3 linked regions of the Arabidopsis thaliana genome follow. The protein of the gene in region 1 purifies or fractionates together with the protein of each later gene. This does not show direct contact. Each region holds a gene or a part of one and is shown in the gene's direction. Other genes may lie near its edges.

Region 1 (9,666 bases):
GAAGATGAGTCAGAATACATGTTCCATGGCAGGTGCTTCAATTCTCCGTGTTCTGCAAGTGCTTAGCTCCCTAACTTCCACTATTGATGATAGCAATGTGGGAACCGACAAAGAAACAGATCAGGAGGAACAAAACATTATGCAGGGACTAAAGGTGGCATTAGAGCCCTTGTGGCAGGAACTTGGCCAGTGTATCAGCATGACTGAGTTGCAGCTCGATCATACTGCAGCTACATCAAATGTCAATCCTGGAGATCATGTTCTAGGGATCTCTCCTACGTCATCTCTCTCTCCAGGAACTCAGAGTCTCCTGCCTCTTATTGAGGCTTTCTTTGTTCTCTGTGAGAAGATTCAAACTCCGTCAATGTTACAGCAGGATGCAACTGTGACAGCGGGAGAAGTAAAGGAGTCGTCTACTCATGGTTCTTCATCGAAAACCATTGTAGATTCTCAGAAGAAAATTGATGGTTCTGTTACATTTTCAAAGTTTGTGGAGAAGCACAGGCGGCTTTTAAATTCATTTGTTAGGCAAAATCCAAGTTTGCTGGAGAAGTCTTTTTCAATGATGCTCAAGGCACCAAGGCTGATTGATTTTGACAACAAGAAAGCGTACTTCAGGTCAAGAATAAGGCACCAACATGATCAACATATTTCTGGGCCATTACGTATTAGTGTCCGCCGAGCTTATGTGTTGGAAGATTCATACAACCAGTTACGTATGCGCTCCCCACAGGATCTGAAGGGACGTCTGAATGTGCAGTTTCAAGGTGAGGAAGGTATTGATGCTGGTGGCCTGACCCGAGAATGGTATCAGTTATTGTCAAGAGTTATATTTGACAAAGGAGCGTTGCTCTTCACTACCGTTGGAAATGATGCCACCTTCCAACCGAATCCCAATTCTGTTTACCAAACTGAGCATCTATCATACTTCAAATTTGTTGGTCGCATGGTAATATATCAGGACCTTGTCAATGCAATGATCTGATTGATCGTTTTTTGCTCTCTCTGATGTGTTTGTGATGTCACTGCAGGTGGCAAAGGCGTTGTTTGATGGGCAGCTTTTGGATGTCTATTTCACCCGTTCTTTCTATAAACACATACTTGGTGTGAAGGTGACTTATCATGACATTGAGGCGGTGGATCCTGATTACTACAAGAATTTGAAGTGGCTATTAGAGGTTTGAGGACCTAGCCTTTATTTACCTTTATCTATTACATAGCTCAAAAATAGAAGTCAGGTCCTGTGCTGTTTGAGCCTTATATATTTGTCCCCTTTTCTGTTTATTCAGAATGATGTGAGCGACATACTCGACCTCACATTTAGTATGGACGCAGATGAGGAAAAACACATTCTTTACGAGAAGACTGAGGTGTGTGGTGATTGATGTTCTTTCTTTTGTTGTGCTTTATCCCAAATTGCCTAGTATATTGAATTGATCATTTTATCTTTGATGAAAAGGTGACGGACTATGAACTTAAACCTGGAGGACGAAACATACGGGTAACAGAAGAAACAAAACATGAATATGTTGACCTTGTGGCCGACCACATACTTACCAGTGCTATACGCCCTCAAATCAACGCTTTCCTAGAAGGCTTAAATGAGTTGATACCTCGTGAGCTTGTATCAATTTTCAATGATAAAGAGCTTGAGCTCCTAATCAGCGGGTTGCCTGAGATTGATTGTAAGTTGGCATTCTATTTTTCAATATTTTTGCATCTATTTGCTTATTCATTTAAAGTTATAATAACAATCTTGTTATCTGTTTTCTTTTGTTTTTTAGTTGATGATCTAAAAGCAAATACCGAGTATACCAGCTACACGGTAGGGTCCCCTGTTATTCGTTGGTTCTGGGAGGTTGTCAAAGCTTTCAGCAAAGAAGATATGGCTAGATTTCTTCAATTTGTCACTGGAACATCAAAGGTAAAACCAATATTTGCAGCTTCTGTCCAAGTCGCTTGAGCTTCATTTTCTGATATGTACTAGTTTTTCTTCTGGTTGTTTTACAAGCGGTGTTTCTGTTTTCAGGTTCCCTTGGAAGGCTTCAAGGCACTGCAAGGTATTTCTGGCCCTCAAAGATTACAAATCCACAAAGCATATGGATCTCCGGAGCGGCTGCCATCAGCTCATACATGGTTAGACATTATTACAAAGTCTTTTTTTTTTCAGTTAAACGTGGTCGTAATTTTCATTGGTTCTGTTGCAGTTTTAACCAACTAGACCTCCCTGAGTATCAATCTAAGGAACAAGTTCAGGAACGCCTGCTTCTTGCAATTCACGAAGCCAATGAAGGTTTTGGGTTTGCTTGAACAAAGCTTAAGAAGAAGGAAGAGCTTTTGATTAAGAGCAAGAAATAGAAAACGCAAGTGGCTATTTTTGTCTGTCCATATATTATGTTAGTATATTAGTCCATTGTTTTTTTTTTAGGCTTTCTCTCTATTTCCTTAGATTTTGTTAAAAATAGTTGCAAACTCTCAAATATTAGTAGTTGATATTTGCTATCCATTTTTATAAGATGAGAAAATTACATAACTGCTGGTCATTATTTTGAATACTTCCTTTCTGTCACGCGTATTGGCATATTCCTCAACCAACATACGAAGGCCAGTTTGTTATCACAAGTTTGCAAGCCCATTGTCTTAATATCTCAACTGTCTCCAGAAGCAAGTCTCATAACATCTAGAAGAGGTTGTTGAGCATACCAAGTGTGTTCCGAGGAGGATAAACATGGGAGACTCCACTCCAAACTCCATTACCTTCACCACCTGCCTATTCAGCAAATGAAGAATCAGAGTGTGTGCATGGCATCTCTCCGAAAATCCCACACAGGGTCTTGATCTTTGTCCTCCACGTTCATCATCATTTTCATCCATTATTGCTTACTCGCCTTGTCCTTGACGTTCCACATTTGTCTCCAGCCAACAAGTATTGCTGGTATAAGCTTTGATAGTTTGTAAAATAAACATTAGCTAACATAAATACTCTTTTGCCTCTTATCAAAAAAAAAAAATGATGCTTCACAAGTTAACACACCTTCAAATTTTCTTAAAAAACATCTATATGCAATAACAGAATTCAAATTATAATGCAATAATGATAAGAAAACATTTCTCCTCCATCAACCAAAACGTGAATTAACATCTATCGAAAATAGGTGCTTCACAAGTTGACACACTTGACACACAAAATCTACAAGTGTGAGAGCGCTTGTTCATAACGAGTTTAAAGAATCGCAAAACACACTCATATTAATAATAATCAATCAACTTTTGGAAATATTCAATACTCTTTTGTTGATACATGTAGTCTTCTAAGATAAAATAAAAACGTATACACTAAACAGTTTTTTTTTTTTTTTTTTGGGGTCAATAACAGAATCTAAAAATTAAAGTTAAAATTTAAACGATAAAAGTATTTAATTGGGACGTTTATCAAAATGAAACAATGCATTGGATCGGCTTTAAAAAGCAACCAAAAAAAAAAGAGCTGTCATGATTGATATTCATCATCACAAAATAATGAAAATTGCCTTATTCACGTAATAACAAAAAGAAAATGATTTTATAACAGTCGAATCGTACGGCAGATATTTGTTGGCCCCTCCTCTTATATGATATCATAGTCAACAAGAGAACAAAGCCACAGAGAGAGAGAGACACTAAAACCCTAATCTCTTACTCACTGTCTCTCTTCTTCAATCCATGTCTTCAACACAAGAAGCGTCTGTTACTGATTTGCCCGTGAAGAGACCTAGAGAAGCAGAGGAGGACAATAACGGCGGCGCCATGGAAACAGAGAACGGTGGAGGAGAGATAAAGGAGCCTTCTTGTATGTCCTCTATTATTCCTGGATGGTTCTCTGAGATTAGTCCTATGTGGCCAGGTATAGATTCCTCTGTTTTCCCCAATTGAGGTCCGTCTAATTCCTCATGTTAATTCTCTGTGAAGCTGATTTTGAATATCTCTATCTGAGTTTGTAGGAGAAGCACATTCTCTCAAGGTAGAGAAGATTCTATTCCAAGGGAAATCAGATTACCAGGATGTTATTGTTTTCCAGGTAATAAGGACAGTTTCTTGGTTAGTCTGTCTCTCTAAGTTTGGTTCACTTTTATATAAAGTTGTCAACTTTGGTGTATTTTGTTAGTCTGCAACATATGGAAAGGTTTTGGTTTTGGATGGAGTGATTCAACTCACTGAGAGAGATGAATGTGCGTATCAAGAAATGATCACTCATCTTCCTTTGTGCTCTATCTCCAACCCCAAAAAGGTAAATCCTTTATCAACAATCTTAATCTCTAGATAATCAAAGTCTCTTGCTTTCAAATGGAAAACTGCAAGAAAGAAGGTGAATTGTCTATCAGTTATGACCATATAACTTGTTTGAGCTAGAAATACATCAAAAGGATGATCCTTTAAGGGAGTTTTAGTTTTGAGTTTGTGTTTGAGAAAGGTCTATAATTGAAGTGTTTTGAGTCTTTTCCCTCTTGCTATTGGATGGTATAACTGTAAAGTAACCAAGTGGGTTTCTTATGGAAATGTTTCTTCTTCAGGTACTGGTGATTGGAGGAGGAGATGGAGGAGTCCTGAGGGAAGTGGCACGTCATAGTTCTGTTGAGCAGATTGACATTTGTGAAATAGATAAAATGGTGGTTGATGTGAGTACTTGTCAGATTTCTTTCATTTATTATTATGCATCTTGCAAGTGCATTGTGATGAACCTTTACTTAAGTTTAATATGTTTTCTTCCACCTTATGGGATCTTTCTTCAGGTGGCTAAGCAGTATTTCCCTAATGTAGCAGTTGGATACGAGGATCCTCGTGTCAACCTCATCATTGGCGATGGTACACAATGCTCTCTGCTTTCATCTCTCTCTTTTGAGATCAGTTTTTATAAACAATGTTGTGGCCATTTTTTTGTAGGTGTTGCTTTCTTGAAGAACGCTGCTGAAGGAACCTATGATGCAGTTATTGTTGATTCATCTGATCCAATCGGTCCAGCAAAAGAGCTATTTGAGAAACCTTTCTTTGAGTCAGTGAATAGAGCTCTTCGTCCTGGTGGAGTTGTGTGCACACAAGCTGAAAGCTTGTGGCTTCACATGGATATCATTGAAGACATTGTTTCTAATTGCCGTGACATCTTTAAAGGATCTGTTAACTACGCTTGGACCAGTGTTCCAACTTACCCGAGGTCTTTGAAATTGATCTTGAAAACATTTATGCTTTTTTTGTTTGCATTGATCTCAAACGTCTGAGTTTGTATGTGATTCATTTGCAGTGGAGTCATTGGATTCATGCTTTGTTCATCTGAAGGACCACAAGTCGATTTCAAGAAGCCAGTGAGTCTAATCGATACTGATGAAAGCTCTATCAAATCACACTGTCCCTTGAAGTATTACAACGCTGAGGTACATAAAAAGTAGTTAGTGTAACAATCATTTTCGAAATGTGTGAATCATTGTTAAGAATTGTGATTGAATCTTTTTGTGTTGCAGATTCACTCAGCTGCTTTCTGCTTGCCCTCTTTTGCTAAGAAGGTGATTGATTCGAAAGCCAACTAGAAAAGAGAAGAGAAATCATTTGCTTTAGAGAAACTTCATGTGGAAGTGATAATATGATGATACAATGATCCTTTGGAAAAAAATAAAGAAGTTTTAATTTTTAGAATGTAATGTTCTTTCACCTGCAATGTTATGTGACTGCACTGAGCTATCAATCTCTTTTTATAAGCATTACACATATTTCATATCCTTTTTTTAACGTTATGCATCTATAATTGACTAACTTTCGATTTAATGTGATCACATAATATGATTTAAAACCCAAAAATTTGTAGACTAATTTTTTATCATTTTGACATGTTTCCTCTAAATTATAAAAATAAGGGCAAATAAAACAAATATTTTAATAGGTGTGATTTGGACCAAAAATAGAAAAAATGGAGAGGCAAAACTGTTTTATGGGCCTTAATAAAAATTAAATGTTTTGGGCTTACATCATCAGCCGTCCAAAACAGTTGGTTTGTCCAACAGAACTTGTATACGTGTTCACTGGTATTGTCGACGTTGACGTTATAATTATAACAAGAGGTTGACCATCGTTATTCACGTGTGTATGGGTTCACATCTATCATGACATCACAATATTACAAACATTACCTAATTTATGACTTTTAAATCTAATGATAATTTTACTTGATCGTCATCAATTATGTTTAATTTTCTGTCGCTCTCAATTCCTAATAATACCACTTAATAGGTCCTTCTTGAAGTAGTTGGATTGCCACTTGCAACTTTAACCAGCATATAACCTTGTACATGTTCCTTTTTTTTAGTTAAAGACCTTGTACATGTTCTTAAGACGAAGAAAAAACTAACTATAGTATATGATTTGTTAGGTTACATTTATATTATATGTAGAAAAGAAAGTAGCAAAAGATACCGATGAGTAGTGCTTATGTACAGTAGATGGTTGATTCATGCCCATTTAATTTTAAAATAGTTAAACCAATTTTATGATTTAAATTGTATATATTTTAAACTAAACTGAAATATTTATGCTATAGTATCAAAGACTTTGAACTATTACGTATAACGTATGTGTTGATTTTATAGCATATTATATGTTGAGAAGATAGTTTATCATATATATTTTATAATATTTGAAACAATTGGTTAATAGATTTTTTTTATTTTTTTTTAAAACAAAATAAAAAATAAAACCAATTTTACCTTTCAAATAAAATGGAGAAGATGTCTTGTTGACATGATGCTAATGACTAATGAGTATTGATCCGAAATATTGTTCTTGGATGTAATTACATCATAAGATTTGTCGGCTTCGAGGATTGCAATATTATATTATTTGAAGCATTATTATTAGATGTGTGATCATTTTTGTGGCTTTAAATGCTTCCCACGTCTTCTAAAATGAAAATTCAAAGGAATGTTGATAAAATGTTTTAGCCTTTTAGGGTCTAATGACTCGTGCTAGCATTAAGTATTCAAAAAAAAACAAAAAAAAAGGAAATAATTCTGGTTATCGCAGAATAGTAACTAGTAAAACGTATAAAAATTAATAAAGACAAAACTAAGTTGAAAAAGATAGAGTTCCACAACAAACAATGACGCCATCGGTAGCTAAGTAAAGTCAATATCTAACTAATTAAATAGCAAAATAGTAGTAGATGTTAACGTAATCACATTCGTAATATTCTGTAATGACGCAAACTCGGGGATGCAGCGACAAAAGAACCATTACCTAACAAAAGTAGGAAACTCTCTTGTAATTTGAACAATCTTCCAATAGTTTGTCCATTATATTTGTTTTTTTTTTGTACTATTTTATTCAAGAATCGAACATATTTCTAATTTTTCTACATGGACCAGGTCTCAACATTATGAATCACATCCGATATTACGAAAAACTCTATTAAAATGATTACTAACTCTATTTTTAACTATTTTTCAACCATATAGATTATTTACAAATTCATACATATGGACCGTTTTGGTGTCTTCAGATACGACCTATGAGGAGATAAGAAAGAATCGAATCATTGACAATTATTGTTTGTGATTCTGCAGAAACTGAAGAGCACTTCACGTTCTTTGCACACGTGTATGTCCAATATCGCACGCCATATTAACCGCGGTTCCAGTTGCATCAGAATGTGTCCAGAGATGAACCACGTGGAAACCGGTTTGTGGAAAACCGGAATCGTCATAAACGCTTATCGGTTTCTGTCATGATCGTAATAATCATGCACGCGTGGATCAATCATCTCTCTTAGTAAGTTTTGATGATATTTTGTAGACGTTTTTCTTTACTTTTGATGAAACTCTCTAGAAAACTTTAAATTATCCACGAATATGTGGAGCTCTATGTAGACGCATAATTGTGCCGCATATAAATGCCGTCAGCTTAATTTTGGCAGTTTTCGTTACACGAAAATGGAACAAATGTAAATGATCAAATAAGAGAGGACCCATAACATCATATATGTGTCGGCCTTTCGATCACCCTCTCCACATAAAACCTCAAATGGCCATATTTTTTTCATTTATATATTTCTTAAATGGAGTAATACCCATTACCCAAAAAAGTGGTCACCAAGAGGAATTATTCTGTTATAGATTCCACCATCGAAGCTAAAAGCAAATAGATATATTATTGATAAAATAAAATAAGGATGGCTGCTAGAAATAGAAACGCATGGGTGTTTTGGATAATCCTATAATATATGTTTGGTAAATATAATATTACATTTTCGATAACTTATTGTATTAAGTTCATATTTAAAACCAACTCGTGCTAAGAAACGAATAAATGCCGTGGAGCATAAATATTAGTAACTTGGTATATTAAATAAGTGAGACTTACATTTGTTTTTAAAATTTGGTCAAGGGTTTACATTTCTCATTTAAAGAAATGTCATAAGATAAACTAAACAAAAATTATAGTTGTTGAGATTAGGTAGCTTGAATGTTAACTCAAAAGTTTCATGCTTTTTCATTCGCTCAATTGCTTTTGTTTTGAATGGAGCAATCAGAAGAAAATAAGTTTAATTGTTAAAACAAGTCGCCAACAATTTTTGAACCATTGAAAACATAAACCAATATTTGAAGCATTTAAGAAAGATTTTTTTTTTGAATCATGGATGTTGAAAACTTTGACTTCGATCAAAGGACAAAATTTTCAATTTTCAATCTTTATGATATCGTAAATCACTTTATTTTTGAAAAGTGAATCAAAAAACATTTGTCGAACTCTAATAGCTTGAACTCAAAATTTTTCAGTAATCATAAAATCTCCAGATTTTACTGCATTTTTTATTTTTACATTCGAATTACCTTGTTTAAATATGTAGATTATGTACTTTCGCTTTTGTTTTCCTTAACCATATTGTTTTCCTTTTAAAACATAGATGCCAAATATTAAGTTTATTTTAGTATCACTTTAAACCACATATCTTAAACAATTTAGTTACATTAAATTCAAACAATATAATGCAAGTAAATGAATAAAGATGGGGATATAAAAAAAGGTAAAGAAAAACAAAGGTAAAGATTGCTTTGACTAAATATAGCCAAATAGGCAAATATAATTACAGTCCTTCATCTTTTCTCTAGCTTTAGAATTTGTCTTCAAATATGAACATAATTAGTATAGTATTTTGATAATCACTTTATAGAAAGCTTGAATTATATGAATCAACATCCCACTTATCAAAAGCCACACTTTTCATTTCCTTTTTCACTCTCACTTTGACATTTTAACTTTCCTCATAATTACAAAAAAATATTGTATTAAATAGTAATTACTAAAATTAAGAAAATTCTTAGCATCTGAAGATTTAGTTGACTAATCTCAGACCTAATCTGTTTCAGTAAACTCTATATATGTAAATTAAATTATATCTCTGATTATAAATTAAAAACAAAAAAACAAAAAACGTCTCTTTGTATCTCCTCAAAAGCCGAAACAAAACCTCTCTTTCTCACAAGTAAGCAACTTCAAAATCTGGTTAACCCAAATTACAAAAAAAACAAAAAAATAAAAAGTCGCTCTCTTTCTTCTTAAAAATCTCAACTTTGTCGTCCAAAACTCCAAATCCAGAAACCCATACGCAAATATCCTTCTACGTGTTTGCTCCTTTCACGTTTTTCT
Region 2 (10,786 bases), 750 kb from region 1:
AACAATAAGGAAATTATTGGCACAGCAGTCAAACTAGATCACGTGATTAGATCCCAAAAAGTTTCATGAATCGATAATATAATCTACAAAGCAACAAAGATTCTCGCTCTTTAACTCAAACATAAGCTCGCTACCCTAAAGTTTTCTCAATAGCAGTCTCAAGGAACACAACAACCTAAGACCACAACAGATCAAAAAGAAATTTCACAATGAAGAGATTCCATACATCGGCATCGATCTCAGCAGCTCTCTGTCTGTTACTTCTAGCTTTGTTTAGCAGCAAGTATAATGTAGAGTGTCGTCAGATGGCGCCAGCTTCCATGGATTTAGCTTCTAGTAAAGGTGTGAGAGATTTGAAGATAAGCCAGGAGATGAAAGGAGAGTCTCTAAGAGGTGAAAAAGATAGCTTCCGAAGAATCCCAAGGACTGGCTCCAGCCCTATACAGAACAAGTAAAGACAAACCACACCACTCAATTTTCTTTCAATCTTTATGTATTCCAAAGGGTATGATTGACACCAAGAGTGTGTATTTTTGTACCAGGATTGATCCCCTAACAGATGTAAGAGGAAGTAGGAAACAACATATCACAGCAAGAAAACCATAGATTTCATATATTTTTCGCTTGGATCTGTTTTTTTTTTTGGGTAGTATAGCGTCTTTGCACTTATTTCTGGATGCTGTAAGCTTTGCTACTGTTAACAGTTCCTAGAGTGTGCTTAGACCTCTATAAGTTCTTTTGTAGTGTTATATGAAAAGACTTTTTATTAGCATTCTTGTAAATGTGTCACAGAGATGAGGAAAAAAGAACTGTGTCACAGAGATGAGGAAAATACAGCTTGACTAGATATGACAAGAGTAAGGAGTCTAACCTTCAAATTCTCATTTTATTTGAATGCCGATTCTTTCCAGTCATCTCACCAGAAAGGAAAGGTCTTTTGCTGCCAGCTAGTTTTGGTTTATCTGTTGCTTCACTAGTTTTATTCTTCTTCTGTTTCGATCTTTTTTCACCTGCAAAAGGTTCATCCTTATCCTTTGCATGTTTTTCTCGGTGACGCTTAAACCCGGAAGTAGGATGATGGTCAATCTCTTTCCTTGTATTCTTTACTTCTATTTCCTGAGCTGCATCCTCAGATGCGTCAGAGACAAAGGTGTTCTTTGGAAAATTTGATTTGTTGGACCCAAATGCAGAGCAAAATTCGTTATATGTTGATTGCTTAGCTTCTTGTCTTGATTTCCACTGATCAGGTCTGCTGGCATAACTGCAACAAATAAATGATTCCATATCATATCAAATCATGAATAAGGAGGTAAAAGATGCAAGAGAATACATGCATGCCATCAATGCTACAGTTATGCCACCTTTCAGTGGCACTATGGTCACTTAATCTCCTAGACTTTTTCTCTAAGAAATTTTACTCTTTTTTTCCATCTCACAGGACGAATATGTTAGTGATACCAGTCTTTCTGATGTGTTACAGCTTCCGTCAAACAAAGCAAGGTAAGTTTGTGAATAAGATCTTACCCATCGATATCAAGTTTCCTAAGCAGATAAGGCCCTTGCTTTGTTTTCGAGAGATCAACTTTCACATCCAACAGTTCAGATGCTATGGCTTCCCTTAGTGTCAAATTACATGCATCGAAGCACTTCTCAACTGTAAATGAACCAGACGTGTGTAATGAGAGCTCGCCAAAATGTCCACGTAATCTGTGACGAAATCATTGGTGAAAAGAAACATCATCAAAATATGAAGAATTGCTTGAAAAAAAAAACTGACAAGCAGCCTAAGAGACTGAATGAAGAAAAAACAGAATGAAGGAAATCATATAAACAAGCTACTGTGGAATCTATCGGTCTTGAGATAAACATATCCCCATATAAAATCAAGAAGCAGTGCATACTTTATAATTAGTCTACGTTTCTGTTTTGTAGCAGCATCTGAGGCAAGAAAGGCCTCGATGACACGTGCTCCACTGGAATCTTTTGCCGTTTCAGTGATATACTCAGCTTTCATAGAAGTTAAGCTTGTTATGTATGGCTGTATATGATCCTGTGAAATTGAGAAAAAGTTGGGAGTTACTGTGAATGCACATGAAAAGCCAAAAATTTGGAAGTTAAAAGCACTGAAGCTATTTTTGTCAACACAAGAAGAGAAGGAAACATACACTAGAAAACTTAAAAATCCCCTGAAGTATCAAACAACCCATGACATGCATCTTTGCACCAGGTGCCCACTCCCATGTAGACTTATCTCGACAACCAAAGTAGTAATCAAGAAACAGCAACCGTGGAAGAATGGAGATACGGGATTCATTTGTGGAGCATACTGCACCAACAAGGGCCTCACAACACTGTCAAATCAGTAAAAATCAGCTGTATAAGAACACAATTTTGAAACTAGAAAAGAAATAAATTTTCATCTAAATTTAGAAAACATAGAAACCTTATTTTCATGACTTTGAAGCCTTTGGCTAACTGCTATCAGAGAAGCCACAACACCTGACTTCCCTTGCTCAAGAAGATCCTTGAATCTTGGAGCTAATTCTTCCCACATAATACCCATCTTGTAAACAAAATCAATTGAACGTAAGTTTACTGGCTTCACGGAAATAGCACAAATAAATTCGAAGTTAAGAAGACCTGGAATGAAATTTTGATGTCACAGAAAAAGATGAAGTGTATGATAAAGATACCTGCTCTTGGTCTCTTGCATGGGAGATTAATGCTTGAATAACAAAATTTGCACACCGATCAACTGAAAGCTCAAATAAAGAATTCTTGAAAACTTTGTTGAACATTTCGTTATACAAACTTTCAGGGGCCACTTCCAAAATAACCTGAAAATGGCATGCAAACGCATTTAAAGAGATGACTAAGAAAATTAACACTCCAATTACAGCATGGAATCAAACAGAGAACTAGCAATCCTTATAGATAATATTTTGCATGGTCTAAAGCAGGCAATACGTCCATCATCAATTGTTTTATGCAAGGTACAGAATCTTGGTATAAACAACTCAGTCAGAGCAGCCAGAGGTTAGACTCAGTTACCTCCACCAGATGACTGAATGAATTATCCTTCATCGACTCTAAAATTTCTTTGGCAACATTAGTCTCTATATGAAACCCTTCTACTTTTTTATTAGTAGAGTTGCAGCGCAGAATAAGCGGAATGATTTCAAGCAACTGCTCATCTTGTTTCAGCATTAGTCTGAGAGCCGTCTGTCAAGAGAAGATTAGTTAGAATCACCGTGAATCAGGGAGAGAGACTAAATAACAGTCAATACTAAAGAAATTGCTTGAAAATGACATAAACGATTAGACAGGGACATAAAACCTACCTGTAAGACCAAACTGCTATACTGATCGACTTGAAGATACTTCATGTCCTCTCTGCTACAACTTAATAGCCCAGATAAAAGGTACGTGAGCATACCTGGAAACCCTTGATGAGGGATTTCTAAATTATTGTCATCTAGCTGAGACATCTTCAGATTCAAACGTTTGGCCAGAGCTTTTGATGATTTTGCGCCATAAAGCTCAGGGGAATCTAAAGAGACTCCTTTGCAAAGACAAAGAAGCCTTCGTAGTACATGCGAACCATAGCAGTTGCACATCATATCAAGAGGATTATCCACAATCACCTGACCAGGGGAAATATTTCACCATCAAAATTGAGGTCAATTACTAGACTAGAAGCAATAATCTGGATACCTTAATATGATTGTCAAAGCCAGTAAAAATTGTATAAAGTACCTTGCATATAGAATGCAAAGCCTCCTCAATAACAGAATAGGCGTCTGGATTTTCTAGATGTGTGGCCAAGGATTTGAGAGCAGACTCTGCGACATGAGAACCAGATCTATCCATTGCAATGGCTGGGAACACACTAGCAGAATTTCGTATGAAACTGCAGAGTTGGTCAAGTTCACATCCCTCAAGTAGAGTTTGCAAGACATGACTTATGATATAGTCTGTAGCAATTTCATACTCCCTCCCTCTTGTTTCTTCAAGGGCATTTCCACATATTACTGAACGTTCCTCTAATTCAACTTCATTACTATCAAAGAGATTGGCAATCTCAGAGAAATACTTTGAAGTCTCTGGATCAATCTCTTTCCTGAAAAAGATACACCCAAATCACTACCACTTCTCACAACAACAAAATTTCGACTATAAATTAGAGCAAAGGCCCTTGGTTAAAAATCTCCTTTACCTGACAAATTGATTCTGATGTTCGAATTCGGAGTGTTTCTTTGATGCTGGCTTTACATTGGGGGCACCACCGGATTGGTTCTTCTTGCTGCTATCTACATCAAATCCACGGTTACCCTTATGGTCCTTCCTACGCATTCCCTTATTCCTTTCACTGTGATTGTTACTAGACTTTCCTCGTTCACCCATCAAGCTATCTTCCTCAATGGTCCTGTGCCTCCTAGATGGCAATGATTTAGAACCAACAGAAACCATGAAAATTCCTAGCCCCAACTATGTTAAACCCTACAAAATTTACACACAAAAAAACTCAGCTTCGAAGAACTATTAGTCCCAAATTACACAATATAACAAAAAAGGGAAAGGTTCAATTTTTTCTCCAAATTTACAGACCCCAAAAATTAGGGTTTCTACCTCTACTTCAAAACGATACCATAACTGGGTTGAATAACCTAAAACATAACAATAAATTCCGAGTCCCAATTCTAAGACTTTACACTAATCCATGTGAAGCTTGTACAAAAGAACAGAAACAATAAGGTGTATCACAAACCTTTGAGGATGCAAAAACACAGTTGACGTTAGAGGAGAAACGAACAAGCGTGAGCTCAGACTAAGAACGCGGCGCAGAGACAAAACGACGTCGTCTCCGAAACTCTTGGTATACGTTGGATCAAAATCTTCGATGTTTTGACGTTGTACAAATTTTCTAATTCCTAGGGTTTTATTCTCGTCCAACCTAATACGATATCGTTTTGTTGACGTGGATATAAACAAATAATGGGCTTTAAATCACGATTTTACCGACCTTTTTAGGGCCCAATTATGTAGCCCAAAAAAAACCTCATCGTTAGCAATGTGCTGCTACATGTTGTTGTGATTTATTTAAATTTAGAGATTTCTAAAAATTTATAACTTTCAAATTAGCTGTAGGTTTTATAAGTATCTATTTATCCCCAAATTAGATTACGACTGTGATTGGATTATTCAATTTTGGTCCTTTTGGATAATTAAGTCAACGGAAGATAGACTTCAGACATCTTTTTTTGATAAAAGACATGTCTTTTTTTGGGATTAGTCGTGTGTTTAACAGATAAATCAACAAAATTAGCCGCCTAAAAAAAACCCCTACAAATATCTTCATCAATTAGATTTTCGAAAAGAAAAAACGAAAAAGCAATTTCTGAGCGTGGAGGACAAGGCAAAATTCGGTGTGCAAGGCACTGGATATTGGGACCCTTGTTTCCTCGTGAGAGAATTTTCAATCCTAGGGCTTAAAGAGCACGTTCCTAGTATAAAGCTGATTCACAGATGCGGAGATTCTTGATTAACCAAGCTAAAGGTCTCGTCGACCATTCTCGTCGTCAACATCACCACAAAAGTCCAAGCTTTCTCTCTCCTCAACCTCGTCCCCTTGCTTCTTCTCCTCCTGCTCTGTCTCGTTTCTTCTCTTCTACTTCGGAGATGTCTGCTTCTGATTCCACTTCTTCTCTTCCCGTTACTCTTGACTCCATCAATCCCAAGGTCGGTTTCTAATTCTCTAGCTGGTTTATTGCGTTTTTGAATTGTGGGTTTCAGGGTTGATCTGGATTTGTTTCTAATTTAGTAAAAAAGTTTCAATTTTTTACTGTGGTTGTCTGATTTAACGCCAAAGGTTTATCCTTTGCTTCTCGTTGTGATTCCCAACGATGAAATCGACAAGCTTTGCATAACTTCTTTGTACTTTATATTACAGAGAAGTTGGTTTTATTGTTAACTAAGAGTTTTTTTTCTTTTCCGGGGAACAGGTTCTGAAATGTGAGTATGCTGTTCGAGGAGAAATTGTCAACATTGCTCAGGTCAGAGATGCATGTGCTTTGTCTTGTAAAACCAAGAACAAAATCTGTAAAATTGTTTTTAATGCTAATTGATTTTTGTTTGCTTTTTGCTTCCATCTTACAGAAGTTACAAGAAGACTTGAAGACTAATAAGGATGCTTATCCCTTTGATGAGGTAAAATCTCTTTCTTTATCGGCAGTTTTGACGGATTTATGATTAGTTTAGTGTTGATGTTACCTGTTCTCAAACTCTTTGTGCAAGGAACTTAGAATTCTTCATTACTTTTGGCAGATAATCTATTGCAACATTGGGAATCCTCAATCTCTTGGTCAGCTGCCTATAAAGTTCTTCCGTGAGGTAAGTGAATGTTTTTGGTACTAGTTTGGTTGTCATATCAGCCACAGAGATATAACGTCTATCATCTATATGCCTCAGGTTCTCGCATTGTGTGACCACGCAAGTCTTTTGGATGAGTCTGAAACCCATGGTTTGTTCAGGTGAGGTTTTCCTTGCTATATTTCAGCTTTAGGACATGTATGCTCACGGTTTAAGATTGCTTAACATTTGATTTCTACTCTGCTATCAGTACCGATTCAATTGACCGAGCATGGAGGATTTTGGACCATATTCCCGGAAGAGCAACTGGGGCTTACAGTCATAGCCAGGTTTGTTATTAGAGTCTAGTTAAAAGTCCTAAACCCTTTCTTGAGATGGTTCTTATGTTGCTGAATGTTTCATTTTTTGTTCTGCCTCAGGGTATCAAGGGTTTACGTGATGTAATTGCAGCTGGAATCGAAGCACGTGATGGTTTCCCTGCTGATCCAAATGATATTTTCTTGACTGATGGTGCAAGTCCAGCGGTAACAATCAAAACGAAAACGTTATCTCATAGAGTTAGAGTAAGTTCTTTTAAAGGATTCATGCTAAGTGTTTTTGGTGTTTTTTACTCTATAGGTTCACATGATGATGCAACTTCTCTTGAGCTCAGAGAAAGATGGTATTCTTTCCCCGATTCCTCAGTATCCATTGTACTCGGCTTCAATTGCCCTTCATGGTGGATCTTTGGTATGTTCATATAATCATCATGGAGTAATGTTGTTTTTTGGTACAAGTTTTTGAAATTTGTACTTCTTAGGTTCCGTACTATCTTGATGAAGCAACAGGATGGGGACTGGAAATATCTGACCTTAAGAAGCAACTAGAGGAAGCTAGGTCCAAGGGCATCTCTGTAAGGGCCTTGGTTGTCATAAACCCCGGTAACCCAACTGGGCAGGTACAAACAGATTTTCAAGACTAGCCTAACAAAATGTAACATTCTTCTAATCTTGCGTTCTTATTCTGGTTAGGTTCTTGCGGAAGAAAACCAGCGTGACATTGTTAATTTCTGCAAGCAAGAGGGTTTGGTTCTTTTAGCTGATGAAGTCTACCAAGAAAATGTTTACGTCCCTGACAAAAAGTTCCATTCTTTCAAGAAAGTGGCTCGGTCTTTGGGCTATGGAGAAAAAGATATCTCGTTAGTCTCGTTCCAATCAGTCTCCAAAGGTAAAAGAACAACTTTTACTGTCCAATGCTTGTCATCTAAAAAATGGGGTTTTTGTTTTTAATATTCTTCTGTTGATAGGATATTATGGAGAATGTGGAAAAAGAGGAGGTTACATGGAGGTTACTGGATTCACTTCTGATGTAAGAGAACAGATATACAAAATGGCTTCTGTGAATCTTTGTTCTAACATCTCTGGTCAAATTCTTGCTAGCCTTGTCATGAGCCCACCCAAGGTAACACCCTAGTTCTCTCTAATCGGTTTTCGCTAAGTTCTTGCAACAGATTATGACTAAAAAGTCTAATATTGTATTTGATCAGCCTGGTGATGACTCATATGACTCATACATGGCAGAAAGAGATGGAATTCTCTCATCCATGGCTAAACGTGCAAAGGTTAGTCGAAGATTACAATACCCTCTAACGACATTTTTCAGTCTCTTTGTATATAATGTCACAAGCTTGAAAATGAACTTGCAGACTTTGGAAGACGCTCTCAACAGTTTAGAAGGTGTTACATGTAACAGAGCCGAAGGAGCAATGTATCTCTTCCCGCGAATTAACCTTCCTCAAAAGGCTATCGAAGCTGCTGAGGCTGAAAAAACTGCACCAGATGCGTTCTACTGCAAACGCCTTCTCAATGCTACTGGTGTAGTTGTAGTCCCTGGTTCTGGCTTTGGACAGGTAAAATATAACCAAATCTTCATAACTTTAAATGTCTTACAAAAGGATCGAACTTGAATAATGGGTTTTGGATTCATTGTGGTTTAGGTTCCTGGAACATGGCACTTTAGATGCACAATACTTCCACAAGAAGACAAGATTCCAGCGATAGTGAATCGTCTGACAGAGTTCCACAAGAGCTTCATGGACGAGTTCCGCAACTAAAAGGACCTGACCATGAAGATGAACTTAAAGACCCTTTTGAAGAAAAGTGTGATCAGTTTGAGTTATTAAAAAAAAGAAAACTTGTGTTTTGAATTTGATCAGGCAATTGTGATCAGCTAATTTAATTTTAGAATATTTTGTACTTCCATTCCATGGCATGTCATATGAAGATATGAAAATTAGTAAATTTATTGGGCTTATAAATGGGCCTTATATTATTAATGGGCCTTATATTTATTTTTCATATGATATTTCTGGAGAAAGCGACAGTATATTATCTTCAATTTTTCCATTTTGAAGAATTTTCTCAAGAAAAAAAAAAATCAATGTGGAGAAGATCACCGTCGTTTATTCTCGACGAGCGACGAAGCTCGAATTCACCTCCAATGGCGGATACAACACGAGGTCCTTTTCAAAACCCTGATTCCATCTCCGCTTATTACCAAACTCGCGCGGCGCATCACGGTGTCATTACAAGCGACTGGCTAGCCCAAGCTCAAGCCGCCGTTGGCGGCGTCTCAGGCGATGCCCAGCATGACTTATCCGTAACTGATCTCGGGAACGAGAAGTCGTTTAATGTAATTGAAGAGTTCAATAACTGGAGAAAACAACCGGATCTGGCTGAAGCCGTCGCGGCTATACGAGCTTTGGCTGCTGTTATTCGTGCGAGCGAAGCGAGCACCATGATGGAGCTTGAAATTGAGCTCAAAAAGGCTTCTGATACACTCAAGGTGAGAATTCATTTTTCACTTTCTGTTCATTCTTCGATTTTGTGGGCTTTGTTGATTTAAGAAATGTTCAAATTTTGGCAGTCGTGGGACAAAACGTCGATCTCTTTGACAGCTGGATGCGATTTGTTTATCAGATACGTTACGAGAACGTCTGCTTTGGAATATGAAGATTTCAATTCAGCTAAGTCTCGTCTTCTTGAACGTGCTGAGAAATTTGGGGAAATATCTTGCAAGGTACTTCCTTTTATGGCTTCTGGCTCATATTTAGTAGTTTTTGTACATATATCAATGAAGTAGATCAATTAGTATTTGATAGAAGAGGGTTTATAAAGGTTTGGTTATTGCGCAGGCTCGTAGGATTATCGCAATGCTTAGTCAAGATTTTATATTCGATGGTTGTACCATATTGGTTCATGGACTCTCTAGAGTTGTTCTGGAAATACTTAAGACTGCTGCACAAAACAACAAGCTCTTTCGAGTTCTCTGCACAGGTTCGCTTAAACAACAAGCTTAGATTGGAACTTGAGTTGTATCCGCTTAATGTTTCTTGGTTTCTCTGAGACATTTTTGTTGCATAGTCTTGACCTTATAAACCCTGTCTCTTTATGATTTTGTTGTATTAGTAGCCTCTCGCTAACTTTTTTTGGTGAAAAAATGATAGAGGGGAGGCCGGATGGAACAGGAGTTCTGTTATCGAGTGAGCTATCGAAGCTCGATATCCCAGTGAAACTACTGCTTGATTCAGCTGTGGCGTATAGTATGGACGAGGTAGACATGGTGTTTGTCGGGGCGGATGGAGTTGTAGAAAGTGGCGGTATTATCAACATGATGGGAACATACCAAATCGCACTTGTGGCACACAGCATGAACAAACCGGTCTATGTTGCTGCTGAGAGTTACAAGGTAATTGAAACGGTTTTATAAGATCCCATAGTAAGAGAGTGGTTAATGATACAAAGTTGTGTATTTGCAGTTCGCTAGGCTTTACCCATTAGACCAAAAGGACATGGCACCGGCGTTGAGACCAATCGAATTTGGTGTAAAGATTCCGACAAAGGTGGAAGTAGAGAGGTCAGCTCGAGACTATACTCCGCCTCAGTACCTAACACTCCTCTTCACTGACCTTGGTGTTCTCTCTCCCTCTGTAGTTAGCGATGAGCTTATTCAACTCTATCTCTAATTTCAACTCCTAATTAATAACTAACTATTTATACTACTTTTGCTTCAGAAGTGAAAACTTCCAATTTTGAGCCTTTTAAGATCTTCAAAGTTCATGTTTTTATCTTAAATATTGAGGTAGTTTTTCTGCTTCGTCTTCCGATTTAGATCAGTTTCCGCCAGTTGGCCCAGTTCTCCGGTAACCAGTTTCCGATCCTGGTATCAACACCGTTAACTTTAAACAATCTTATCTATTGAAGTAGCCATTTATTACTCTTTTGCCTAGAGACTATAAACATGTACAACATACCTAATCCTCAGTCCTCGTGGTTCCAATTTTTGTGACATGATTTGATTTCGAATTGTGTGTGGAATATAGTTCTAATAAGAACCTCTAAAGGATCAACATCACCATGACCAGATTCCGATCCTCAAG
Region 3 (11,456 bases), on another chromosome or scaffold:
TAGAAAACAGAATTTTAAAACAATAGAGACCAACTGACCTGGTTTGTACTTATGAGGTACAAGTGAAACGCTGTGAGCCCTCCAACAAACCACAGGGCAATAAAGCAATATATCATCAACACAACAGCCCAAGGTGATTCTTTCATTGCCCTCCACACAGTTGCTTGTTGATGATCCATCAGAATCTTGATGTATACCGCCGACATCGAGAAAATATAGATGCAGAGAAGTGTTGACGAAGAAACAAACATAAAGAAATACCTATAGTTTCTCTGCCAATGGACAGAACTTTCCCAGTCAGAATCACAGGACAAAATGGCAGACAACAGATTGGCCAATCGGCAGATAAAACAGATCTTGGCCTTTCAGATAACAGAAACAGAAACCTCACACTTTTTTGGGAGATAAAAATTTACGAACTTTATATTTTTCAAAGTCAATATGCTTTTGATTGAGCTTACCAGTCCAATGCATTGTCCCACCCATGGGCAATGATGATCAAAGCGCTCAACACAGTTGTTGCATATGGAGCAATGAGAGCAGCGAGGAGGCCTGTAAAGCATGCATGTATCACAGTATTTCACTCTAACAGAAACGCCATTAACAATGACTTCTTTCGTCCTGGGAATTTGAACACTCGGTGTTTGTCTTCCATCAGCTGATACAGTTGTCTCATAACGTAGGTCTTCCTCTGGTGGATGCGAATTTCGAGGAACAATACCAGGATCTCGTGCAGATGTGAAGAAGAGGAGGATCAATACCTATCAAACCCAAATTCGTGATTCAGAAAAGCAAAAAATAACAACGCCTGAATGCCACACAACAAGTGACAGAACAGGAGGACAGGGTTTAAGCTTCTAAGCCGGGTAAGAAACAAACAATGAAATAGCTGATAAATGTTGTTGATTACCCGATTAGGCAGTAAGCAAACAGGAAACAAACATAAAATCAGAAATCAAATATTTACAACAATGAGATATATAGGACTATCAGATTGGGTATCGGAGAAGACTTACATAAATAGTGAAAAGAATTGCTACCACCATGATAGCATATCCCGCATTGTAGGGAGAGAACTCATGGCGAAGGTGCCTTGCTACAAATACACAGAACAAAACAACCGGAACTATGATCAATAGCAAGGTAAGAGGCAGTGACCTAGCATCTGGTCCAAATATCAATCTCCCACCCAGGATGAATTTCTGCAAAAGAGAGAGGGACCATTTATTGGTATCACCATACTGAATTTAAAACATGTGAAGAGTCAAGCATTGAAGATACTTCCAATTGTTAATAAATTACAAGGAACATTCAACTTGATACAAGGTTATGCAAAAATGCATGGTCATGCTTTGAGAGTGAATCAAGAGATACTTCAACGATTCAGCTCAACAACATTAGTTTACACGTACCAAAGTAAACCAATTGCGTAACTAAGATTATGCTACACAGGTGAAACTCGAGAAAAAACGAATTCCAAATCATATTCATACCAGAGAACAGAATTCAGAGAATATTCATCTCCCAACAAAGAGAAAACACACAAAAAACCAATAAAATTCCAGGCTCAATCATTCGATGAAAAAAGGACTTACATTGCTTCCTTTCCAGACTTGGAATACCCGTTGTGTCATGGAGAGAAGAAGATTAAAGCGACAGAATCAGAAAGTCCTAAGCTAACCAGCGACGGAATTCGAAGGATAGCTGTGTAATTCTCGCCGTGTTCTCCCTCCGGCGAAGAAGAGGGTTTTTATCCCGACGAAGAAATCGACGGAAACCTAATAGTACCAGAAATCGCGAGCAAAACCCTAAGGATTACACAATTATAAGGCTCGCGTGCGACTTCTGGTCTGACCTCCTTCAATGGGCGACGAAGACGAACGAGCGAATAACCTGAGTTTTTTTTTTATTTTTATTTTTTTATGTTTAAACGTTTTTGTCTGCCTTTCTCTTGTTTTAAATTATGACGTAATCATGTTTATCTCCTAAACCACAAATTACAATTAGTGTCCTCAATTTTTCTGCGCATTTTGTGTCAGATTTCATTCCTCGTGCAAACTATACAATTTCAGTTGGTGATTTTTTTGTTTTTGGGATACATTATTTTTTTGTAGGAAAACAACCAAATACCATTTATTTGAGTCATTGTCCATTTTGTCTTTCAATTGACTATCAATTACAATTGATTATGATCGCAAATCAACTGGTTTTGACTAATTCTATTGAATTGTTTGAACCTGTTCCTTCTCAATGAGCCAAGAATTTGACATGTTTGAATAGACACTTAATAAAACTTTGAAAGTTTGTAATTTAAAAATAAATTGTAGAGATGAGGAAAATTCCATTTAATGTTAAAATTTTACAAACGAATTCTCGATTATTTAAAGATGATGACATGTATACCTTGCAAACATAAATCCCTTTATTATTAAAAGGGAAGTACAAATTGAATTTTTTTCTAATTTGGCCTCAATTTTGATTTCAATTTTGGATTTTATTCTTTGCTATTCAAAATTATTAAGGCTAATTTGGTCTTAACAATCTCCTAAACTTTATATGATCCGATTCAATCTAAACCGTTTAATAAAATTAATTTCTTTCAATCTAAACCGTTCAACAAAAATAAGGAATCTATGTCGTTTTTGAAATCAAAATATAATCACATTTCATCTCTAAAAACAGTATATTCAATCACGAAATCAATAATCAATAATATCCAAACCATTTATTACGATTCTTCACTAATCACTAGAAATTTATATTTATAAGTTTAAGATATCAAATTTATTCAAATATTTAGTATAAGAACCAAATAAATTGATTGCCCGCGGTAAACCGCGAGTTAAAACCTAGTTTATATGTAAATGGGTGGAAACAATAAACAAAAAGCAGCTGAATTGTTTTTAATTTTAGCGTAATTATTTACTTATTTTTCTAGGTTTTGCACGTAAAATGAAAGGAATATAATCTCTATTTTTCATCATGATTAGTAGAAACTTTAACAGGATCCGACGTAATTACATTTTTATCTTTTTGTTTGCGTTAACTAAGTTATCCAGTCAAACCCTTAAAATGTCTCGGCGACATAAAAATATTCGAAAAGCTACCATCGTATCATTTCTATAGATCTCCCTAATCTATATGATATATCACATTTCTTTCAAAATTCTTTTTTTTTTTTTTTTTAACAATTTATTGAGATCTATCATGTAGATTAGGGAGAACTATAGAAATGTCAATAAGCACAAAAGTTATCTTTATCATCAAAAGCTATGCGACAACGCTCAACAATCGACATCCACGCATCTAGCATATGTTGAACACATAAAGCAACCCGACTAAATCAGCATACTCCATGGATATTACTCTTTAGATCACCAAGAATGGTAGTCTCGTTTGTCCTTTAGATGTCGAATCTTTTTTTCGAAAGCTTGTAAACTCGAAGTTCTTTGAAGAACAACCCTACTCCCAATCAACATTTTAACATACGCATAATTTCATCCAAAACACATACAAATTGTTTAAAACCACATTACCATTCATTTTATAGCATATACGGTTGGAAGTGCTAGTTTATGTTCTTCAGCTCAAAAGAGTGGTAGTTATTCTGAATAGAAAACAAAACATCTGAAAATGGCGGGCCACGTGAAATAAAATAGAATATGATGCCAATTGAGACAATAATATATATACATAGTCGTAATAAGAGTGATAAAAGCTTTGTGAAGCCTACCTAATCTAAGCAGGGCCGCTCGCTCCCACCAAAGGACAAATCTCTCTCCCGCACTCATCTCTGTTCATTGGTTCCTCCCAAAAAATATCAATCAAATCGGAATAAACTATACGAATCCTCCAATATAAAGCTCCACCCTTTCTCTTTCTATCTCTCTCTCTCCATTGTTGACTGTCTCTCTTCCCTCGTAAACATCGCTGTCTCTAAAGATGGCCTCTCTCTCAGGCCTATACTCTTCTTCTCCATCTCTCAAACCTGCCAAAAACCATTCCTTTAAAGCATTGCCGGCGCAATCTCGAGATTCCTTCTCTTTCCCACATACCTCCAAACCCACCAATCTACCGTTGACTCTCTCCTCGGCTCGTTCTGTGGCACGCGACATTTCTCATGCGGATTCGAAGAAAGAGCTTCTTAAGGATCCGGATGCGTTGTGGAAGCGATACCTCGATTGGTTTTATCAGCAGAAAGAGCTTGGGTTGTATCTGGATATTAGTCGGGTCGGATTTACCGATGAGTTTGTGGCTGAAATGGAGCCAAGGTTTCAAGCTGCGTTTAAGGCTATGGAGGATCTTGAAAAAGGGTCTATAGCGAATCCTGATGAAGGAAGAATGGTTGGACATTACTGGCTTAGGAACTCTAAGCTCGCACCTAAGCCTACTTTAAAGACCTTGATCGAGAACACACTTGATTCTATTTGCGCTTTCTCCGACGACATAATCTCTGGAAAGGTCAGTTTTTGATCCCACCGGCCTTGTTTGGCATTATGATCGTAATGGAAAAGATAGTTTTATGCAGAGTGTCTTACTTAGATCACCTTTTGAGTGTTGTTTGGAAATTTCTGATGCTGGAAAGATAGTTGTATGCAGAGTCTTACTTAGCTCACCTTTTTGAATCTTGTTTGTTTGTTACTCCCACTCAATTTTGTTTGTATGTTGCAGATAAAGCCACCATCTTCTCCTGAGGGTCGTTTTACTCAGATACTTTCTGTTGGCATTGGAGGCTCGGCTCTTGGACCTCAATTTGTCGCTGAGGCCTTGGCTCCTGATAATCCTCCATTGAAGGTATCGCATACTGTTCTAATTGCAGTCAACATTACATTCCCTTGCTCTTAACACTCTTAGCCATCCCCACTAACAAATGGGTGTTCTTTATCTTTGCCTCGTAAAAGGATGTCCTCTCTTAGGTTTTTCTGATTAAAAGAGTCTACTTTGTTGTCTACTGTTTTCTGACTTTATGTTCTTCCTTTGGTTGTTGACAGATAAGATTCATTGACAACACCGACCCTGCTGGAATTGATCATCAGATTGCACAACTTGGGCCAGAGCTGGCCTCGACTTTAGTAGTTGTCATCTCAAAGGTGTGTCCTATATTCAGTTGTGTTTATATGATGGTTGGTCCTGATATTGGCGAGCATGATTAAGTTTCTTACGTATTTCCCAGAGTGGAGGTACTCCTGAAACTAGAAATGGACTACTGGAAGTGCAGAAAGCATTCCGTGAAGCTGGTCTGAATTTCGCAAAACAGGTGTTAATCTCAGGTTTTTGTTTCCGCTTTTTGCTGAAATCCATGTCTCTACGAACATGGGAAGAATGCTGTATGATAATGGTCAAACTGGTTTACACGGTTGGAAATAATCTGAGAAAAGTGGACTAATTTTTCATCTCATTAACAACAACAAAAAAAAAAAACTGGCTTCTCATGGATCATTAGACAGTAGACACCTTCAGATGTATTGGATATAATTTAGCTTCAACTTCTGCCCCACTGTAGTTCCTCAGCAGCAATTTCGCGCTGTATGCTTATGCAGGGTGTTGCAATAACCCAAGAGAACTCATTACTGGATAATACGGCAAGAATTGAAGGTTGGCTAGCTAGATTTCCTATGTACGACTGGGTGGGTGGAAGAACATCAATAATGTCTGCAGTTGGTCTGCTTCCAGCAGCACTACAGGTAATTTGTACATAAGCGTAAACTTTCTATGACCATTCTTTGTTATTTACACGAAAGCATTGTCATCATATAGGGGATTAATGTTAGGGAGATGCTTACTGGTGCTGCTTTAATGGATGAGGCTACTAGGACAACTTCGGTAAGTAGTACTTATTGCAGCTTGTGTTGAAGATGAGTTTACTTACCAGGTTTTAGTAGAATGTCATATCATACGGTTGGGTTTCCTGACTCATACACTTTAGATAGTCTCTACCATGACTCACTCTAGCCTGTAAATTTCTTTCTTCTTTCAGATCAAGAATAACCCTGCAGCGCTCTTAGCTATGTGTTGGTACTGGGCTTCCAATGGCGTTGGTTCCAAGGTGTTTTTCCTCAACTTTTTTGAGAGTTCTAAGGCTATCAAGGAGATTGAGTTCTTATTGACCTTATTACTCTATTCTTGCTTTCTTTTACAGGATATGGTTGTCCTTCCTTACAAGGATAGCTTATTGCTATTTAGTCGGTATCTGCAGCAGCTGGTCATGGAATCACTAGGAAAGGAGTTTGATCTTGACGGTAACACTGTAAGCATACTCTTCAATTTTCTCTGCAGTACCCCAAATCAAAGTTCATGAGCATTTACTGAGAACTGAGAAGGTGTAAATTGGTCTTGCAATTAATGCCCACTCTTATAAATCAGAAGACCTTGGTTACTTAATTACTTGTGCACATGATTGAGTTCAGTTTGTTACCACTCCTTCATGGAAGAATTGAAACTTGTGTACTGTTTCCTCGACCCTGTTATTACGAGTGTGATCCCAAGGACCGGTTCTTTGAATTTGCAGGTTAATCAAGGGTTAACTGTGTATGGAAATAAGGGAAGCACAGATCAGCACGCGTGAGTTTCATTTATTCATATAGTTTTACTATTGAGAGAGCATAGCAAATAAGGAGCTTTTTAACAGTATTTAATTTGTTTATTTCATTAGCTACATTCAACAGCTGAGAGATGGTGTGCACAATTTCTTTGCAACCTTCATAGAAGTGTTACGGGACAGACCCCCTGGTCACGATTGGGAGCTTGAGCCAGGTGTCACTTGTGGAGACTATCTCTTTGGGATGCTACAGGTCTGATTTATGAATCTCGTTTCGCACAAATTAGTCAGAGATAATATACACTCTTTAGTAACACTATATATGGTGAATTTGTCCAGGGAACTAGATCTGCTTTATATGCAAACGGTAGAGAATCCATCAGTGTTACAATCCAGGAAGTGACACCAACATCTGTTGGGGCTATTATAGCTCTTTATGAAAGAGCTGTTGGTTTATATGCCTCAATTGTGAACATAAATGCTTACCACCAACCCGGTAGAGATATTCCTCCCATATCTAGAAACCGATGTTCTGTAATTGCCTAATTGATATTTGTTTACTGAATCTGAATAAAAAACGATTTCAGGTGTGGAAGCTGGGAAAAAGGCAGCAGCAGAAGTTCTCGCCCTGCAAAAGCGGGTATTGTCAGTTCTTAATGAAGCCACGTAAGAATCAGACCGAGTCCGCTTCTTTGTCAAAAAATCTTGTCTCGACTCATGAGAGACCACTTATATACTTCTTTCTGTGGCTGCAGTTGTAAAGATCCGGTAGAGCCATTGACACTGGAAGAGATAGCTGATCGTTGTCATGCTCCTGAGGAAGTAACGTCCAAATCCTTGAAACTTGTTTTTTCATTGGTAACTTTTCGAACGCACGTATCAAGAAGTTTTTATCTTTGAATATGCAGATAGAAATGATATACAAGATCATAGCGCACATGTCTGCAAACGACAGAGTTCTGATAGCAGAAGGAAACTGTGGATCGCCACGAAGTATCAAAGTGTATTTGGGCGAGTGCAATGTGGATGACCTGTACGCATAACAAAACCCAACACTTTCTCAAACTCCAAACTCTCATTCTCTCCATTCCTTATTTCTTTCTGCCATGTCTATGATTTTGAAAAAGAAAAAGATTGCAATAAGAGCCAGGAAACACTTGTGTACTTGTTTTGAAATAAAGATAATTTCAGAATGTTACAAATGTTGATTGTAATGATAACATTGGAGATAGATTCATCAATCAAGCAGGCTCATGTGAAACAATGATCTCAACACTCTTCTGCTTGTTTTTTGGTTAGGTGTTCTTTTGTTGCATAAACAAACAAAAGCTTAAGCTAATCAGCAGGTTAGAGATGCTCAACAACTTCCTCCCATGTGGTTAGATTGTATCAACTATAGTTTCTTCAATTAAATTCACTTCTGAATTTTCTTAGAAAACCCCATTCAGATCTAACCAAGATAACTCTAAATATTTAATTTTCCATAATAACTTTTCACTTGCCACTTTTGAAATTCGAATGGAATATGTTGACAAAAGAAAATGGTAGATCCACCGTAAGAAAACAAGACATAAGTCGAGTCGATTGTCCCCACCACCACCTATTTAGTAGCCTACCATAACAACAAAAAAATTATAACGTTACAATCCCTTTTATCAATTTTCAAAACCAAGATGTTGAATCGCTTTCCCATGTCATCACTACCCGTTATGCCATAGCTCCTATCAAGCTGGTGAGCGTACTAAACGACACCGCTTTGGGGAGGTCTTACCAACTCGATTGCTTTTCCTCTCTACCCTTTCCCAAATTTGAATTCCCAATTTTTTCAAAATCAAAAGTAAATACTAACAAAAAGCAAAAATATCAAAAAAAACAAAGAAAAATCATTTTGAAGTGCACAGATATCAATCGTCTCTCTCCCTCTCTCTCTGTGAGAAAGCTTTCTGATTAAGCTTTCGTCGTCTCCTCCATTGCAAAATCTAGCTCGATCTGTGAAGGTTTCTCTGAGTTCTTCAAAAATCTCTTCTAGAGAAAGACTTCATTAGCTCAATTTTAGCAACTTCCTCCACCTCCTTTTACTCACACTGTGCTTCGATTTCAACTTCGCATTTCACAATGATCCCCAACGGAGAATTGAGATTACCTGCTCTCAAGGTCCGTGAAGACCGCGTGTCACCCTCAGCTCCTATTCCGGTCACCAGAACCCTAGTGGCTGATACTGACGTCACTTCCGATGACGATATGAGTACAAATTCCGAGGATGTCTCTCTCGATTCGTCTCCCGAGAACAGTAGAGTGTCCAGTGCCGTTGGTCGCAGCTACGGGAGAAATTCTTCTTATTATACTTACTCCGAGGTGAGCTCATCAAGAGAGACTTTGGTCGGTGCGCGCGAACAGACGGGACCTAGATTTGATGGTGATACGGAGGAAGATGAATCCACCGATTCAGCTTCTAGCACGCAATTTTCTCCGCCGCCGGCAGCTGGGAGGATTAACGACGGCGTATCTCAGGTGGAACAAACTCACTTCCCTAAGACGGACAGGCGAGCAACTGTCGAGAAGGTTTTAACCTTAACCTTTTGTGTTAAGATCAGAGATCTTAGAAACAATTTAGTGTGATGGATGATTTTAGGCGTTCGTAGAGCTAGGATGACCAATAAAATTGACAGATATGGAAAGATATGCAATCGCGTTTTGTTCTCATCTGTTTTTATTGTGGTCTGAAGATTTGGATTTTGTGATCATCTAGTCATAACAATGTCCAAATATGATCAGGAGCTTGTGCTTTAGCTGATGATCTAGGTCTCTATGTAAATCCAGAAAAGAGCTGCTTTTCTGTTTTTTGTACTTTCCCTTGTAACATGGTGGAACGACTAGGATGTCTACAGGATTTGTTTCTTTATTGATCTTATAAAAACTCCAGTTCATATTGCAGGAGTTTGATGAGACGTTTTCTTCTGAAGAAGTAAGCGATATTCCCAGTGCCCCTCCATTTTCCGGGGCAGCAGAGGAATCTGAAGAAATTAAACCAGCAACTTCAAGCGTTCAAGTTTCAGAAGTCAAAACAGGAGATTGTGTAGAAAGTAGAAAGACTGGCCACTTTACTAGGTATTCTATTTTTAGCTCTTAAATGAATTGAGTTCTCAATTTGGTAAACTAATTTCAGTTTTTGCTTCTGTTCCTATAGACCTAGTGCAGCTTCTGAGTCATCTGGGCCACCTGATCAACATCCAGCTCGGCTTCCTACTTTTCATGCAAGGTAGTTATGATCTAATTAGTTTATTCACTGCTTCAGAAACTGGATATAGACAGATAGAAAACCTCAGTTATCTTCACTTTGTTCAGTATACAAGTTGGATTCTTTTTAATCACTCTGCCAACATTTTTTATTGAACCCTGATACAGTTCTCGTGGGCCATGGCATGCTGTGGTTTCCTATGATGCATGTGTACGACTTTGTCTGCATGCGTGGTCAACCGGTTGCATGGAGGCTCCCATGTTTTTGGAAAATGAGTGTGCTCTTCTACGAGAAGCATTTGGGTGGGTTTATTATAGCCTCTTTCTTAGTTTTCATATGTATTTCTTAAATTTCTCTATATTATTGCCGTGAGTATAATTTTTTATTTCTTTATGCAACCTAAGTTGAAGGATGGTTTTTCGTCCACATGCATCCAAAAATTTACTGAATAACAGATTTGTATTTGGGTTAATACTGACTAACAGGTTGCAGCAACTCCTTTTGCAATCAGAGGAAGAGCTTCTGGCAAAGCGATCTTCACAAGCTCCGCACGAAGGAGTTGCACCAAAACCCAAGAAAAACATTGGCAAAATGAAGGTGCAAGGTAAACTTGAGTCCTGTTTCATTTGCTATCTGGCTACCCCTCATATAACAATAGTCGTAAAATATATGTGTCTGCTTTTGCAGTACGACGTGTTAAAACAGTTATGGATGGTCCAACCGGCTGTAGTATATCATCTTTGAAACCATCGTTGATAAAGTTTGAGAAAATCCGGATTCACTTTTCCAATATGTCAACACGCTTATTTTCTGGATGGCGGGCTCTAAGGAAGATCCATGTCCGTGTACCAGCCAATGGTTCTTCTCTTCCTCGTCAAAGTCTGGCATATGTTCATGCCAGTACACAGTACTTAAAACAAGTTTCTGGTCTCCTGAAAACCGGTGTCACAAGTCTACGTAATAATTCAACATCTTATGATATTGTACAAGGTATGTGAAACTTATTAACTACTAGCCTATTCGGGGAGAATTAACTCAACTTGACATCTGAGTTTAAAATGATAATATGGCACTTATATGTATTTATATCAGTATGCGTGGGCATAGTTCGAAAGAAATTGTATTTCCATGTTTCCCAGTACACTACACTCACTCTCTTATGTACAATAACTTTTATAATATTGATTGACCCGTTCGGTTCTGTCATTCAGAAACATACTCGTGTAAGTTAAGATTGAAAAGCTTAGCTGAAGATAACGCCATTATGATGCAACCCGGATCTGGTGAAAGCCATGTTTTGTATGTTCCTATGTTCCCAATTCTTCCTTTCACTCTCTCAAATCTACTTGGGGTAGCTTTCCCTTATTGTGAAGTGTGACGAAGTATATGGAATTTCAACAGCTTTCCTGATAGTCATGGAGATGATCTGATTGTTGAGATCCTGGATCCAATGGGGAAGGATTTTGGGCGTGTACTTGTGCAACTAGCTAATATTTCTGAAGATTCGGTAAGTCATTTCTACTTGCCTTTTTTATATGTTAGTACGTTTCAAGTGATTCTAATGAAGAAACCATACAGGCTGAGAAACTTCGCTGGTGGTCTGTTTTTCGTGAGCCAGAACATCAACATGTGGGAAAACTCCAGCTCTATATTGACTATTCAGCAAGTTTTGATGATAAC

Evidence for each region.
Region 2: the proteins of SPDS2 (region 1) and ALAAT2 fractionate together in Arabidopsis thaliana (co-fractionation; one large-scale study listed by BioGRID). This does not show direct contact.
Region 3: the proteins of SPDS2 (region 1) and PGI1 fractionate together in Arabidopsis thaliana (co-fractionation; one large-scale study listed by BioGRID). This does not show direct contact.

What each region holds. Positions count from the first base shown.
Region 1 is NC_003070.9:26,481,389-26,491,054, reverse strand, and holds SPDS2 (spermidine synthase 2), read left to right. Parts: upstream 1-3,459; 5' UTR 3,460-3,702; coding exon 3,703-3,883; intron 3,884-3,980; coding exon 3,981-4,057; intron 4,058-4,144; coding exon 4,145-4,267; intron 4,268-4,550; coding exon 4,551-4,655; intron 4,656-4,769; coding exon 4,770-4,842; intron 4,843-4,920; coding exon 4,921-5,188; intron 5,189-5,275; coding exon 5,276-5,405; intron 5,406-5,492; coding exon 5,493-5,558; 3' UTR 5,559-5,817; downstream 5,818-9,666. Other genes in the region: UPL2 (ubiquitin-protein ligase 2), read left to right, coding at 1-949, 1,032-1,178, 1,290-1,370, 1,460-1,685, 1,785-1,924, 2,030-2,136, 2,208-2,310.
Region 2 is NC_003070.9:27,228,111-27,238,896, forward strand, and holds ALAAT2 (alanine aminotransferase 2), read left to right. Parts: upstream 1-5,364; 5' UTR 5,365-5,526; coding exon 5,527-5,739; intron 5,740-6,002; coding exon 6,003-6,053; intron 6,054-6,156; coding exon 6,157-6,207; intron 6,208-6,324; coding exon 6,325-6,390; intron 6,391-6,468; coding exon 6,469-6,530; intron 6,531-6,619; coding exon 6,620-6,698; intron 6,699-6,788; coding exon 6,789-6,932; intron 6,933-6,987; coding exon 6,988-7,098; intron 7,099-7,168; coding exon 7,169-7,306; intron 7,307-7,379; coding exon 7,380-7,575; intron 7,576-7,654; coding exon 7,655-7,809; intron 7,810-7,894; coding exon 7,895-7,969; intron 7,970-8,053; coding exon 8,054-8,257; intron 8,258-8,344; coding exon 8,345-8,461; 3' UTR 8,462-8,679; downstream 8,680-10,786. Other genes in the region: PUM23 (pumilio 23), read right to left, coding at 874-1,261, 1,525-1,707, 1,902-2,050, 2,166-2,351, 2,444-2,563, 2,694-2,837, 3,052-3,222, 3,342-3,644 and 2 more; AT1G72340 (NagB/RpiA/CoA transferase-like superfamily protein), read left to right, coding at 8,707-9,192, 9,274-9,426, 9,542-9,683, 9,854-10,095, 10,166-10,372.
Region 3 is NC_003075.7:12,705,097-12,716,552, reverse strand, and holds PGI1 (phosphoglucose isomerase 1), read left to right. Parts: upstream 1-3,727; 5' UTR 3,728-3,942; coding exon 3,943-4,461; intron 4,462-4,671; coding exon 4,672-4,794; intron 4,795-4,991; coding exon 4,992-5,090; intron 5,091-5,173; coding exon 5,174-5,257; intron 5,258-5,540; coding exon 5,541-5,684; intron 5,685-5,757; coding exon 5,758-5,823; intron 5,824-5,977; coding exon 5,978-6,046; intron 6,047-6,139; coding exon 6,140-6,247; intron 6,248-6,508; coding exon 6,509-6,561; intron 6,562-6,652; coding exon 6,653-6,791; intron 6,792-6,877; coding exon 6,878-7,034; intron 7,035-7,125; coding exon 7,126-7,204; intron 7,205-7,293; coding exon 7,294-7,360; intron 7,361-7,446; coding exon 7,447-7,581; 3' UTR 7,582-7,907; downstream 7,908-11,456. Other genes in the region: AT4G24630 (DHHC-type zinc finger family protein), read right to left, coding at 39-272, 462-761, 1,017-1,202, 1,596-1,634; AT4G24610 (pesticidal crystal cry8Ba protein), read left to right, coding at 8,654-9,100, 9,462-9,646, 9,726-9,797, 9,944-10,078, 10,262-10,380, 10,464-10,766, 10,988-11,075, 11,178-11,283 and 1 more. UniProt on the Arabidopsis thaliana protein: Promotes the synthesis of starch in leaves.